Linked DNA regions of Mus musculus. The protein of the gene in region 2 binds, or shares a complex with, the protein of the main gene of each other region. Links are inferred from orthologs where the notes say so. Each region holds a gene or a part of one and is shown on either strand. Other genes may lie near its edges.

The links.
Region 1: Fam8a1 (region 2) and Ube2j1 share a complex: the UniProt entries of both Homo sapiens proteins name them as parts of the HRD1 complex. The link is inferred for Mus musculus from reciprocal best matches to the Homo sapiens genes FAM8A1 and UBE2J1.

The regions. Positions count from the first base shown.
Region 1 is NC_000070.6:33,039,589-33,046,937, forward strand, and holds part of Ube2j1 (ubiquitin-conjugating enzyme E2 J1), read left to right. Parts: intron 1-1,144; coding exon 1,145-1,229; intron 1,230-1,767; coding exon 1,768-1,873; intron 1,874-4,268; coding exon 4,269-4,398; intron 4,399-5,491; coding exon 5,492-5,611; intron 5,612-7,349. UniProt on the Homo sapiens protein: Catalyzes the covalent attachment of ubiquitin to other proteins. Functions in the selective degradation of misfolded membrane proteins from the endoplasmic reticulum (ERAD) and is essential for cells to recover from ER stress.
Region 2 is NC_000079.6:46,665,871-46,673,924, forward strand, and holds the start of Fam8a1 (protein FAM8A1), read left to right. Parts: upstream 1-3,606; 5' UTR 3,607-3,715; coding exon 3,716-4,385; intron 4,386-5,338; coding exon 5,339-5,459; intron 5,460-7,675; coding exon 7,676-7,799; intron 7,800-8,054. UniProt on the Homo sapiens protein: Plays a role in the assembly of the HRD1 complex, a complex involved in the ubiquitin-proteasome-dependent process of ER-associated degradation (ERAD).

The DNA.
Region 1 (7,349 bases), on a different chromosome or scaffold from region 2:
AAGGCTCCCACTGACACATTAACTGGGAGAAACAAGCAGCTGAATAAGGGCTGGTATGTGTGGGAGACCTGTGTGCATACATGTGTGAGTGTGTGTGTACACCTGTGTGTATGCATGCATGCATGTATGTGTGCATACATATATCTGTGTGTATGTGTGTCTGTACCTGTGTGTGTATATATGTTTTGTGCATGCATGTGTGCATGTATCTGTATGTGTGTGCACTTCTGTGTGCATGCATGTATCTGTGTGTGCATACATGACATTTGTGTGTGTGTGTGTGTGTGTATGCGCTAGTGCTGAGCAGTGGGCAACAGCTCTTTTCCAGTAGTTAACCAGTGGATCAAGTGGCTTTAGCACACTGGAAAGCAGCCCTGCCCTCCTTAGTGGTCAGTATTGCCTCCTCCTTCACTTCCTTCCCTAAAGTCACTTCCAACTTTGATTCAGCAAATGTTTATGGACCATGACCCCAGGATGTGGGTGAAGCAGGACGGAGTTAGCCTCCTCCTAGCAGAGTGATGGTTCTGACCACGTGCCTGCCTCTCCTCACCTTCTTCCTTAACGTTGTGGTACTTCTCCTGTTCAGGCTTGCAGCTGCTTTTCATGTGTGAGAATTAGCTTCATTGGTCACCTCTGAAAGGAAAGGTGCCAAGAGGCTGAGTCTTTTCCTGATATCAAAAATCACGATCCGTGTTCTTCCTCGATTGTGTTCTCTCTAATTTAGTGGCATCATCCTTCTGAAAAGCCACTCCTGTCTCATGCCACCTCCCCACACCTTTTTCACCAACTAGTCAGGTGACTCTGGCCTTAGGTTTAACCTGTCCTTAATGTGTCTTACCTTTCGGCAAGTCTAGATCTGTAGGAGGCACAGGGCACAGCATCAGTAAATCTCTCTATGCTAACTCTTTAGCACTGTCTCAGAAAGGTACTGATAAACCTTCTACAAACAGCCTTTATTATTTATTCAGCATTTAACATGTATTTTTGAATGTCTATAAGAGGACAAAAAACTACGTCTAAATATTTAAGAAGATAATATTATCTTTAAAATTATTATGCATAAATAAATATAAACTACATTCATGAAAAGGATAAGGCATTAAATGGACTTTTGCAGCTTTAAATTGTGTTCTTTGTTTCTAAGGCTAATGGACGATTTGAAGTAGGCAAGAAGATCTGTTTAAGCATCTCAGGACATCATCCTGAAACCTGGCAGCCTTCATGGAGCAGTGAGTATCAGCGAATACAAGTGCCAGTTACTAGTCAGTTTATAATAGTGAATTACAATACATTTTTGAGATTGACGATGTTTTTGGCTAATATGTGACACCACTGAGAAATTAACAAAAATACTTTTCATGTGTGGGCTTGTATATGACTTTAATAACCTGCTCTGAAACCCTTCAGATCTTTTCCAGAGCTAACCTAATTTCTCTTAAGGTTTTACTTTGTGTGTTTGTGCACCTTTGTGTGCAGATGTGTGTGAGACCAGCAGCTGTTATGGGGTGTCTTAATTCTCTTTATTTTTTGAGGCAAAGTCTCTAATTGAACCTGGAACTTGAACATTTTAAGACTTTGTGGCCAAGCAAGCCCTCCTGACTCTGTGTCCCTAGCATGGGTTGCAGTGTACACTGCTGTGTCTGCCTGTTTTCCTTTCTTATAACATACAGAAAGCATGAGAGTGTTCAAGACCAAGTGTGGGTCCCCGTGCTTGCTCTGCTCCTACCCAGCTCCGTCCACTGAATGGATGTTCACTTTCTGTTTCAGTAAGGACAGCCTTGCTGGCCATCATCGGGTTTATGCCGACTAAAGGAGAGGGGGCCATAGGTTCTCTAGATTACACACCCGAGGAGAGAAGAGCGCTTGCCAAAAAGTAAGTTCCTTGTTAGCGCCGAGTACTATCTGGTCAACAGTGTTAAGTCTCTTTCTCTGCTGTCACCTTGGCTAAGGATCCAGTCTTAGAATTGTAGAAATCCAGTTCTGCAGGTTTCCTTGGAGTGACCAGAATATAAAAATGGATCTCATGATTATTATTAAGGATTAGTCCCAGGGTTCCACCCCATGTGAGGCAGGTACTCTGAGCTGTATCACCAGCCCATCTCTCTCAGTCTTTTAAAAGCAGCTGATGGGCTGACCTGGGTTTGATTCCCAACACTCACATTGTAACTCTAGCCCCATAGGCTCCAACTAACTCCTCCTTCTGGTTTCTGCGGGTACAGGAACACATGAGATGCACAGACATACATACAGATAAAACATCCATACACATAAAAATAATAATAATTAAAAAAAGTGAAAAATTGTATAGAGATTTGTTTTCCTCCAGTTGGGAGCCATGTCTCCTGGAAAGCATTGCTGGCCCTTTGTCCCCTGTTAGCTGGCATCCAGGTAGGACAACCCAGAGCCATTACTTATATATAGCTGCCTGAAAGACCAATTCCTGGGCTCGTAAGTGAATCCACTCTATTTTTGTAGCCACTTATATAGCTTATAGCAGACATTAATAAATGATCTGGGATAAAAGAAAGGTTTTCCTTAAGTAGTGATGTAGTAATACTGCCTTTTCAGGGGGTTTTTCTTTTTGGTGTATTTTCATCTATAGATCATAATAATTCATTAAATTCAAAGTATCATTTCCGTTTGGTAGTACTGAGATAACGGAATCTGTTTTTTGAGACAGGGTCTCATGTGTAGCCCTGGCTGTCCCCTGTTTAGGCCTAGCTGGCCTCAAACTCACAAGTTCTGGAGTAAAGGTGTGTTAACACCTGGCTATAAACTCTATTTTTAATTGGCTTCTTTCCTATTTTACATGTTTCTGATAAGAGATAAAGGAAACTTTTCATAGACTTTGAATAGGCTCATGACCTGTATTCTTGAGGATAGTGTCATACAGTAATAAAGTTTACATAAATATGCTGTCACTGTAGGTCTGAAGCTTATCTTTCTTTAGGTAACTTATTTTTTAAAAATGGAGTCTAAGCTGTTTTTTCTTTTTTCTTTTTTTTTTTACACTCCAGATTTTATTCCCCTCCCGGTCCACCCTCCAGCTGTTCCACATCCCACACCTCCTCCTGCCTCCCTGTCTCCATGAGGATCCCTACCCCCACCCCCCACCTACCCCACCAGACCTCTAAACTCCCTGGGGCCTCCAGTCTCTTGCGGGTTAGGTGCATCTTCTCTGACTGAACGCAGATCCGCCATTCCTCGCTGTATATGTGTTGGGGGCCTCCTATCAGCTGGTGTATGCTGTCTGTTTGGTGGTCCAATGTTTGAGAGATCTCGGGGAATTCAGGTTAATTGAGACTGCTGGTCCTCCTACAGGGTCTCCCTCCTCCTCAGCTTCTTCCTGCTTTCCCCTAATTCAAGCACAGGGGTCAGCAGCTTCTGTCCATTGGTTGGGTGTGCAGATATCTGCATCTGACTCTTTCAGCTGCTTGTTGGGCCTTTCGGAGGGCAGTCATGATAGGTCCCTTTTTGTTATCACTCCATAGCCTCAGTAATAGTGTTAGGCCTTGAGACCTTCCCTTGAGCTGGATCCCACTTTGGGCCTGTCACTAGACCTTCTTTTTTTCAGGCTACTCTCCATTTCTATCCCTGTAATTCTATTAGACAGGAACAGTTATGGGTCAGAGTTGTGACTGTGGTATGGCAACCCCATCCCTCACTTGTCTTTCTGCTGGAGGTGGACTCTATAAGTTCCCACTCCCCACTGTAGGGCATTTCATCTAGGGTCCCTCCCTTTGAGTTCTGAGAGTCTCTCACCTCCCAGGTCTCTGGTGCATTCGGGAGGGACCCCCACTTCCTACCTTCCAAGGTTGCCTGTTTCCATTCTTTCTGCTGGCCCTAAGGGCTCAGTCCTTTTCCCTCACCTCAAAACTAATACTGCCTTAATTGTCTCACAGCCTATATATGAGTATACTATGACATCATTAAGTAGTCTTTTCTTTTAGTCATTTGGTATTTAAGTATCTTTTTTTTTTGAGACTTATTTTTGGTTTATATTTATGGGTGTCTTGTCTGCATATATGTGTATATTTCTGTGCATCGTGTGTGTGTGTGTGTGTGTGTGTGTGTGTGTGTGTGTGTGTGCAGTGCCTGTAAAGGTCCCAAAGGGCTCCCTTCACACTTAAACTACAGATGGTTGTTACCTGCTATGTGGGTTCTGGGAATTGGACACCATCTCTCTAATCCTTATTTGAGTATCTTCATAGAAGGGAATTAGTATTCCGCTGTTTGGTTTATGCTCATTGTACATTGTATCCTACCAGATCGCAAGATTTCTGTTGTGAAGGCTGTGGCTCTGCCATGAAGGATGTCCTGTTGCCATTAAAATCTGGAAGTGGTTCAAGCCAGGCTGACCAAGAAGCCAAAGAACTGGCCAGGCAGATTAGTTTTAAGGTACTGTAAATTCCTAAACAGATCCACTTAAGGAGCCTTTTGTGTTTACTGCTGAATTCTAGCAAAAAGGAAAGTCATGTGTTTCTAGTGAAATGAGATTTTCTGAGTAATGTTTTCTTACTACAAGACATAAGCGACACTGAGCAGAGCAGTTAAAACTAGACTGGCATATACGACTGCACTCGGAGTCAGCTTTGCAGCTCACTGGCTGTGTGCTCACGTGCCAGGCAGTACTTCACCACCACAGCCCTTACCCAGGTTCATCAGAGCCTGGACTTCCTTGTGGGAGTTTGTCAGGCTATGTTAGTTAACACGGATACCACATGTATTATAGCTGCATTTAGATCTATCCCTAGTACTTTCTAAATTCTAGTTCTTTTTAAACAAAGTAACCTCACCTCCAAGATGTTACTGCTGTTAACATTTTGGCAGTTTCCCCTTTCTCCTCTTTTTCTGCATATTTTACCCAAACATAAAATTTATATACTATTCTAATACTTTGAGTATTCACACTCATGTTTCTGTATTCCATTGAACCTGTGTGCTGCTGTCTCCTCTTCTTTCCGTTTCTGCCCTCTGCCTGTTTCTAGGTCCCGTTCTTGGGAGTTTTCCCTTTAGTTTTAGCGTAGTCCCTGGAGGAGGAAGTATAAATCCTGATGCTGCTCCTTCCTTTCCAGGACTCCTATTGTACTTAGATCTTTCCTCTGGAGACCTTAGGCTCAGATGTGTTTAGAATGTCATGATGTTTCAGATGTGAGGAACACATGCAGCTTATGCTGACAGTTACAGTAAATCTGGTCAGCCTGGGACTGTTGGCTATTGCTACAGTCCAGCTAGCCTGACGAGCCTAAACGTTGTCCAAGCTTTAGTTTGTGGAGGTTCTTAGAATTGCAGGTTGGGAATCATTGGCGTTGTTCCATAGTAGGTAGCAGCTCCCTCAGGATGCAGTGTCCAGTGGAGCAGATGCAAACATGCACGGAGCTTAACTGAGAGTGGACAGGAAAGGAGCAATACAAATGGATTCAGGAGAGGGAGTTAGCTGATTGTTAACACAGTTCTTATAACACTGCTCTTGGGTGTATCTTATTTATAGGCCGAAGTCAATTCATCTGGAAAGACTATCGCTGAATCAGACTTAAACCAGTGTTTCTCACTAAATGACTCACAAGACGATTTACCTACAACATTCCAGGGTGCTACAGCAAGCACATCGGTATGGCTCTTATCTTTTAATACACACCACACACACACACACACACACACACACACACCACAACCACATACACATGTATGTGTGCACACACACCACATACTACATACACACCACACTTCACAACCACACATACACACACCACAACCACATACACATGTATGTGAGCACACACACCACTTACTACACACACATCACACTTCACAAACACACACACACACACATATACACACTTTTTTGGATTAAGATAAGATCATAGATCAAATATTGAAAATTATGTTTTTCTTAGTAGTAGGATTTTAGCCCAGCTGCCCCATTAATTACATTATTTTGAACAAATCTTTTGGACTTCAGTTTTTTTGATTTTTGTTGTTGTTGTTATGTGGGGTTAGACAAAATAGTTTCTAGGTTCTGTTTTTATTTCAGAATGCTGTGACTTCTTTTAAAGTCAGTGCTAACATTGTGCTAGCCTAGATAAAACATGCATATTAATAACTCTAATAGATACTAGGCACTGGCGAGAATTCCCTGAGCCACAGTCTTGTGTTGCTTAGATAGGCCTAGTAGTCTAGTGACACATGCTCTCTAAGTGTACATTCAGTCCGGGTTTAGTGAAGTCAGCAGTGTTGCCCCTCAGGCACACTGACTGTCCTGAGCACCCTGCAGTATGCATGCAGCCGGCCGGCAGCTCTGTGGAGAAGCATAGACACAGAGATTAAACTCTGTGCACACAGCCCTGTTGAACTGCTGCCGGTGTGGAGTCAGTGGCCGGGAATTGTTAGATGACAGAGTGAGTGTCTGAGGATAGCTCTGCTCTGACCAATCGCTTCAAAAAGTGGGTCAGCACAGGAAATGGGAGAGACCGATCACAAATAGTACTGGATTGGTGCTAACTAGAGAGGATTGTGAGGGGAAATGACTTAACAAGACGATCTTACTGTTTTGGAGTCCGTTTTGTTATAGCTTATTTGACTGGGAAACCACATCTTCTATCTCCCGCTCTGCTTCATAGAAGATGTTTATTGATTTAGTGAGGGAGTTGTGCACTTGCTACTATGTAAGTGCAGAGCGCAGAGGACAGCTTGCAGGTATCAACTCTCCATCCTGTGGGACGTGGCACTGAACTTAGGGCATCAGGCTTGGCAGCAAGCACCTTTATGCAACTAATCCACTTCACTGGCCTTATAGGACTTCAAAAGTCAGAAAACTGAAAAAGAAAATGTATCTACTATAAAGTGGGACTAAATAGCTTTGAGTTGCTTTCTTTCAGGGAGTAAGATAGATACATCAATATTCTTTAAATCTACCTTGTTACATATTCCAGTTATTTTAGTGATCATTTATTTTGTCATTAATTGTCTATGACTTTGTGCTTTTATAGAGTAAGTGGTCTAGGAAACTACCTGATGATAACTTGTGTTTACCAGTCTTACCAGTTTCCTGGGCCCACCCAGCGACTGAGATTCTAAAAAGCATTCCAGGATGGCCCAGTGGGTAAAGGCATTTGCCACACCAGTCTGACACCCTGAGTTCAGTCCTTGGAACCCATGTAAAGGTGGAAAGGACTGACTTGACAAGTTGTCCTCTTGGCCTCCCCAAGTATGACATGGCACATGCACCCACATATATCATGTGTATGCTCACCCGCAGCAAATAAGTAAACATCTAAGAGCATTCTACTTAAAAGCAAACAAAATTCACTCACTTTTGGTTGTTCTAGTTAGTATGCAAATCTTGCTAT
Region 2 (8,054 bases):
TCTCCATCCCTCTCAGTGCTGGCTTACACCTGTGCTGGGACAACAACTCAGCTTATTATGTGGGTGCTGGATTCGAACTCCAGCCCTGAAGCCTGAGCAACAAGCTCTCTGAATGGATGAGCCATACCTCCAGCCCTTCTGCATTACTTCTGACTTAAGGTATTTCATATTTGATTTCAGTCCAATCTCTTTGGGTACAGTGTGTTCTATTTGCTTTGCTACTTCTGGTTTTCCGAAATTTGGTTTCTAATTCTCTGATTATGTGGCTTCACTTCTAAGGGGGTTATTTATTTATTTTATGTATGTGAGTACACTGTAGCTGTACTGATGGTTGTGACCCATCATGTGGTTGCTGGGAAATTAAATTCAGGACCTCTGCTTGCTCCAGTCTAAATATTTATTTATTATTATAAACAAGTACACTGTAGCTGTCTTCAGACACTCCAGAAGAGGGCATCAGATCTCGTTATGGATGGTTGTGAGCCACCACGTGGTTGCTGGGATTTGAACTCAGGGTTTTCAGAAGAGCAGTCAGTGCTCTTGACCGCTGAGCCATCTCTCCAGCCACTTAATGTCTTTACTTTGCTACATACTACGGAAATATAAAGTCCATATCCCCAATAATCACTGTATTTCACCCTCATTTTAGACATTTCTAAATCCACTCCTGCTGTTCCTGCCTCCCTACTGGCACGACTTCTAATTTAAGTATTAAAATGTCTGAGTAGCTGAGGATATGGTTCAGTGATGCGGAATCTGTCTCGCAGTCTGGCAGAGATGGTTCAGTGGATAATTGCTACCTAATCCTGGAAACATGAGTTTGACCCCTGGAGCCCACAGGAAGGTAGAAGAAGAAAACAGAACCCACGAAGTTGTCCTCTGGCCTCCATGTATGCACCATAGCACGTGCATATCCATACACATACATCATATATGTACAATTATTATTATTGTACAATTCTTATTATACATTAAGTACAGTTACAACATTTTTTAAATTAATTTGCCTAGAAGGCATAAGGTACTGAATTTTATCTCTGGCATCAAAACAACAACAAAATCTTTCCTCAGAATTGATTTTGAAACCAAGTTGTCCGAGGTAAACCATATGAAAGGAACACACGGAACACACGGGGGAAAGAAGAAGGACCCTCCCTCTCCCCACTGAATTGTCATGTCTCTTGCTGTCAGAGACAAGAGTTTTGACCTAAATGTCTGAGGATTTCATTATACGAAAAGTGTACACAGCAAGTAAGCTATATTCAAGAGCTATGTCACTAACCTTGTGTGTGTGTGTGTGTGTGTGTGTGTGTGTGAAGTCTCTGCAAGTTACCTGAGCTGGCTGTGAGTTTATGATCTCCTACCTCAAGCTCTTGAGTAACTGGAAGTACATGCCTGTACTAATAGGCCTGGAATGACCCATGGTTTTGTCTTAGATGTTTCTTTCTTACATAGAAGCCTGCTAGTACAGTCATAGGCCATCTTAAATTCTCACATAGGTATGAAACCCCTTTCCATAAGGAAATGAATATAACTGAAGGGCTCTCTAACAGGCCCAAGTGTTGTAAGCATGGCACCTGCAGGTCTTGCCCTCTCCCCTTCCCTCTCCTTTACTAAGCCGTTAGGTTACATTCCTAAAGATAGCCACCAAGGTCCATTCCCTTATTTGGCTATTTCTTTATGCCTGACTAAAACACCAAGGTCCAGCAATCAAAATTCATTATTCAGCTACACTGGCTGATGTGTCCATTCGGGACTTAACAACTCATCCTGGCACAGATTTCCCCCTTTTTCCTTAAAAAGATCACTCCTGCAGAGACATCTACTGCTGTCTTTGCCTGATCCAGAGACAACCGCAACCCTACCCCTGCTTGTCCTCTCTGGGGTAATAAAATCACCTTTGTCTTGAGAAGTTGGTGCCCCTTCAATAGCCCATTTTTCTCTCAACTTTATAGATCAAGTGCTTTACCAACTAATGTCAAATTCCCCAAGACACTCCCCAGCTGCTGCTGGTAAAGCCATTAGGTGCAGCATTCCTCCCTGAGTGGCCACACTTGTTCCCCATTGCCTGTCCTTTCCCCTATGAATAAGCTAACTTTGACTCTAACTCATTATGATTATTTTTTTCAGCACAGTTTAAGAATCTGGGTTGCAGCCTGGCCGTGGTGGCACGTGCCTTTACTGAGTGTCTCCCAGCACTCAGAAGACAGAGACAGGAAGATCTCTGTGAGTTTGAGGCCAGCCTGGTCTACAGAATGAGTTTCAGGACAGCCAGAGCTACATGGAAAAACCCTGTCTCAAAAAATAAAAATAAAAAATAAAAAAGAAGGAAGGAAGGAGGGAAGGAAAGAAAGGGGAAGAGAGAAAGAGACAGGGAGAAAGGAAGAGAATGAATGAATGAATCTGGTCTGTACCTAAATAAGGGTCTCTGAAGCTGGGAAAGGAGTGTCGCAGGTTGCAGAGCTGGTGGTGTTGAGCTATGTTTCCTGCTGCTAGTGATGATCGTGAATAGGTGTTCAAGTGTTTCATGGAAGATTTTCCCTTGAAGCAGATGAATTTCTTAAAGGCCAAAAGTGATGTCTTTTCTGTCTCCCAGAGGAAAGACAGGATTGACTCTCGGCATCACTGTCATGTTCAAGCCATTAGGTGCGGCATGCTGTGGTGAACACCAGGACCAAAAGCAAGTTGGGGAAGAGTTTATTTGGCTTCCAATTCTACATTGTAGTCCATCACTGAGGGAAGTCAGGACAGGAACTCAAATGGGCAGGAACCTGGAGGCAGGAGCTGATGCTCATCCCATGGCTTGTCTTCCTTCTTATAGAACCCAGAACAGCAGCCTGGAGTTGTACCACCCACAGTGGGCTGGGCCCTTCCACATCAATCACTAATTTAAAATGCTCTACAGGTTTGCCTACAGCCCAATCTTACAGAGGCATTTTCTCAATTGGTCTTGCCTCCTCTCAAATGACTCTAGACTCTATCAAGTTGACATAAAATTAGCCAGCACAATAATCGTTCAATATTCTCATAGTATTTGGCTCTTGTAGATTCCTTATATGGTCCTGGGAATTCAAAGTCACACAACTACCCCTAACTGGGCTTATTAACATAGCAAAGTGTATTAAGGTTATCAGTATCTGGGAGGCTGCATATAGATGAAAAGAAGACGAAACCATACACAGACTAAGGTGCTAAGCAAGAAACAAATACTGTGGTTGAAGGAGTGGAAATTCTGGTGAGTCAGATGCAGTTTCACAAGGGACAATCATGTCCTAACCCCACAGGATCTTCTCTAGGGACCTTGGTAATGGAGTTCATTAGAATTCTCAAGAGTGGTGGCGAATGCCTCACAGACGTAAGCCTAAATGGATGCGTTCACAGTGTCCAGGACCACGTCCTCGGCATCGCACACGTGGTTGTGCGATGCCGCGACGCGTTACGTTACCGAATATGCCACAATTTATGATTAAAACGTACCACAGAGGACCCCCGAGAAACATCGCGTAGCCCAGGAACCAACTCACAAAGCACCACCAACCGCCCGCCCGGCTCCCCAAGCCTGGCGCGCCGGAGAGGTGGGGTTTCCGCTTCCGGAGGCGGATTGTTGACGCCCACTGCTGCTGTGGTGGCGAGCGAGCGAGCGGTTGGGGAGGGGCCGCCGAGGGCGGGCGACGGCGCCTTGACAGGCAGCGCGGAGGGGGCCTCCGGGGCGACGATGGCAGAGGGGCCCGAGGAAGCCCGGAGCCGCCCTCCGGAGCAGGATGGCAGTGGCGGGGACCACGAGCCGGTCCCTTCCGAGCCAGGCTCTCCCACCACCACCGTCGCCGCCACCGCCGCCGCCCCCCGGTCCCCGGCCCTCGCGAGCGTCGCCTCGGCAGTGTCGGAGCCCGAGCCGCAGTGCGAGCTCCGCAAGCGCCGGGAGACGGGCGCGGAGCCTCCGGAGGCGGGAGACTGCGAGGCGTCGGACGGCCCGGGGCGGCTGAGCGCGCGCGAGTACTCGCGGCAGGTGCACGAATGGCTGTGGCAGTCCTACTGCGGCTACCTGACCTGGCACAGCGGCCTGGCCGCCCTGCCCGCCTACTGCGGCCCGCCACCACCCGCCGCCACCGCCCCGCAGCCCGCCGTCCCCTCGCCGTCGTCCCCGCCGACGCCGTCGTCCCCGCCGCCACCGCCGCCGCCGCAGCTGGCGTACTACAACCCCTTCTACTTCCTGAGCGCTGCGGGGCCCGGGCCGGGGGCGGCCACGGGCGGCGCCACCCCGACGGCTGTCGCGGGCCTCACGGCCCGGGCCCCGCACGTGCAGCCATCGGCCCGGGCGGCCCCCGGGACCAGGGTGGGTTCTGCAGCCCCTGCGCGGACTGCCAGCGACACCGGGCGGCAGGCAGGTGAGATCGGGGTTGGCGCGGGGGTGGGGTGGGGGGTGTTGGGTAGGATGGAGGAGGGATAGAGTCGAGGTCCTTTTTAAAAAAAAAAAAAAAAAATCACTGCCATTCCTACCACTAACATTTTGGAAGGATCTCACCCTGTGGTGTAGGCTAACACAGTATGTAGGCCAGGCTAGCCTCAAACTTGGAATAAGACAGGTCTGTACTAGCCAGAGGGGTCTCTTGAAGGATCATTGAACAAGTATGCTCGCTCCTGAAAAAATATAACCGGGGAGCTGCTGCTACCATTGATAGTTCCCACATACATCAGCTATGGTTTGCCCAGGCCCTAAATTCTAAAAACGTACTGTGAAGCAATGTTGATTGTCCTTCCCTTAAGACCTGGCACGGCTAGTAGGTTCCCTTACTCCTGACACTAGCCCTTCTTGTGTGTAGAGACGTATGCTTATCAAACCATCCTCTCTGTAATCTTCAGGCTCTGGAAAGATCCAAAGCTAGCCTTGGGTGGCAAGCCCGCTGTTGGGAGGCTCGAGATTAGAATACTAGAAATCACCAAGACTTGGGCCGTGTAAAGACAGTGGAACTGAAAGGCGATTGACATGATTACAAAACGAGTCTAGAGAGCTTTGACTGGCCTCAAGCCTATTGGTCATGAATATCATCTAGTAAATGATGTGTAGTCACTGGTCTTAGCAAACCGTAGGAAAGTTTGCAGCCAGTCTTCTGAGTCTGGGGCTGGAATGCTGGGATTACAGGCATAGCTCACCATGTCCAGCTCATTATTAGATATTTTAGAAACAGGATCTCTTGATGGGATCATTGCCGTTGGCTGATGCAAAGCTATAATCTTAAAAAGTTTAGTTGGACCTTGACTTTACTTTGCCGCTTTCTTATCTGGCTTGGTTCTTAAACTTGTGTAACTCATTTTTTTTCTTCTTCTTCCCAATTTCCAGGTAGAGAGTATGTCATTCCATCCTTGGCCCACAGATTTATGGCAGAGATGGTGGATTTCTTTATTCTCTTCTTTATAAAAGCAACCATTGTCTTGAGCATCATGCATCTCAGTGGAATAAAGTAAGTTAAGAACAGTCAGAAAATTCTGGAGCTGTCATTTAGGGATCTTGTTTTGTAAATTCTGTACATGCTCATGAGTAACTCTGGGTAATGGATGGATGTCCAAGACCAAGACTTCTCTATGAAATCTTTACCAGTTCTATTTGTTTCCCTATTGGTTGTTTTTAAGTGTGTTTATATGTAACCAAGAGGTCTACTTTGGTTATCTTCTAATCTCTCCTATATTTTTTTGAGGTGGGATCTCTCACTTGACTTGGGGCTTGTCATCTCAGCTGGACCAGCTGGCCAGCAAGTCCCTAAGATCACTGGTCCTCCCTCTCAGTGCTACATAGGTATATAGGTGTCCTGGGCTTTAGATGGATTCTGGGGATGCACTCAGGTCCTGACATTTTATATAAACACTTTACCCACTGAGCTATCACCACAAGCCCCTTGGTTTTAAGAAAGAAACAAAGAACTTCAGTATGTTGTTTAAAATCTGAGGGAAAAGGAGGGAGGCTTTGGTGGCATGTTCCTTTAATTCCAGCACTCAGGAGGCAGAGGCAGGCAGATCTCCGTGAGTTCAAGGCCAGCCAGAGTTAAATCCTATCTCAAAAAAGATTTTAATAGGTTAAAGAAGCCTTCAGACCTGGCTTGTTTTTTTTATTAACCATTCTCTTGGGCCAGGAATGTGTTAGTTTCCTTCTTATTGGCCTATGAAGGCTCTGCCATGAAAGCACAGAGGGGCTGGGTCGGTGGTCAGGGGTTAAGAGTGCTCACTGCTTGTCCCGAGGCTCCAAGTTCAGTTTCCATGTCAGGCAGCTTATCACTGCCTCTAACTCCAGCTCCAGCCTCATGTATACACATGGCATACATTTGTATACACATACACACACACAATTTTCAGAGCACAAAGAGCTTGTGGTAGGTGGACTTAGTAATCAATTTCAGTGGGGTTGTTTTCAGTTGAGCAGATTCAATGCAAAGTATGGCATTTACTTGAGAAACTCAAGTTTTAGGATAATGCCTGCTCCCAATTGCTAAGCATTTTCTATGAGACACTTATTTACGTTTATGAGACGATGTCAGAATTGAAAAGAAGATAGAAAAGTCAAGATACAAAGTAGTGTTAACCTTGGGCCCCCGACAGGTGTTGGGTAGCTCCTGCCTGTCCCCTAACACAGCCTTTATTATTATTGTTTACATTTATTTATTTGGAGGGCAGAAAAAAGCTGCAGAACTTAACCTCTCCAGCCTTAACATGCTGCTGTAGTTTCTACCGACAAGATAAAGTCTGAATTTCATTACATGGTTTAACATGCCCACATTCTCCTCAGTCTCCTTACACCATGAAATTGAGCCCTATCACTTGTTCCAAGGCTTTCTCTCCTGCCTGGAGCTTCTTCCTGCTTCTTAGTCTGGCTGGCTTCTCTTCATTCTTTGTATTGTATTGTGCACTTAGAAATGTCATTTCTGAGAAGACTGGTCTGTTTTCTGTGGTGTTCTGGTTGGCATCCCAGTTTATTTTTGTTCTATTTCCCTTGCTTGGTTAGAATCTCTGTGAAAGCTGAGGAGATACTTTTAGTATCCCTTGCTGTGCCAGTGTGCCCTCTGATGCAGTGATAAATACCATGATCAAAAGCAACTTTGAAAGGAAAGAGTTTATTCCATTTTACAGCTTGTAGTCCATCACTGAAGGAAGTCAGGGCAGGAACCTGGAGACAGGAACTGATTCGGAAGCCATGGAAAAATGCTGCTCTTCATGGCTTACTCAGCCTGCTTTTGCTTTTCTTATAGCACCCAGGACCACCAGCGCAGGGGTGGCACCACTCACAGTGTGCTAGGCCCTTCCCACATCCATCATTAATCAAGAAAATGTCACATAGACTTGCTACAGGCCAATCTGATGGAGGCATTTTCTTAACTGAGGTTTCCCAATTAAGTTTGAGTTTACAAACCAGTCACTGCCCTATCATCAGGGCTGGCATCTTATTTGCTCTGCAGTGCTCTACCACTGAGGTACAAACTACCCCACAATCACAACCATGCTTTTGCTTTAATTTACTTAGGTATTTGTTATTTTTTTGAATAAAGTAATGGGTATTTTATGCACTTTGTTGGTGAGAACCTAATAGCATAGAATTTCACTTAAATTTTATGACCTAATTATGGGAAAATGGTACAAAACTGACTTAGGAGCTAATTCCTTCTAACCCCAAACCCTTCTTTTTGTGCAGGGACATCTCTAAGTTTGCCATGCACTATATAATAGAAGAGATTGATGAAGACACATCAATGGAAGACCTGCAGAAAATGATGATTGTGGCGCTTATATACAGGTTGTTAGTTTGTTTCTATGAGGTAAGCTGCTAACTGGAGCAAGTAACCGTTTTAATGGTATTTTAAATTATCTACTAGGAAAAAAATGACAATTTACAAATTTCGTAAATATTTGTCATTGAGTTTTCATAATTTTTAAAATTAACACTTTCAAGTAAAAAAAAAAACCCTAAATACTAAATTTTGGAAAAAAGATGCCTTGTTATACATTTCAGTTTTAGAAATAACATTTCATTCATAAGCAGATTTTAGTTCAGAGATATACATATTACGGAC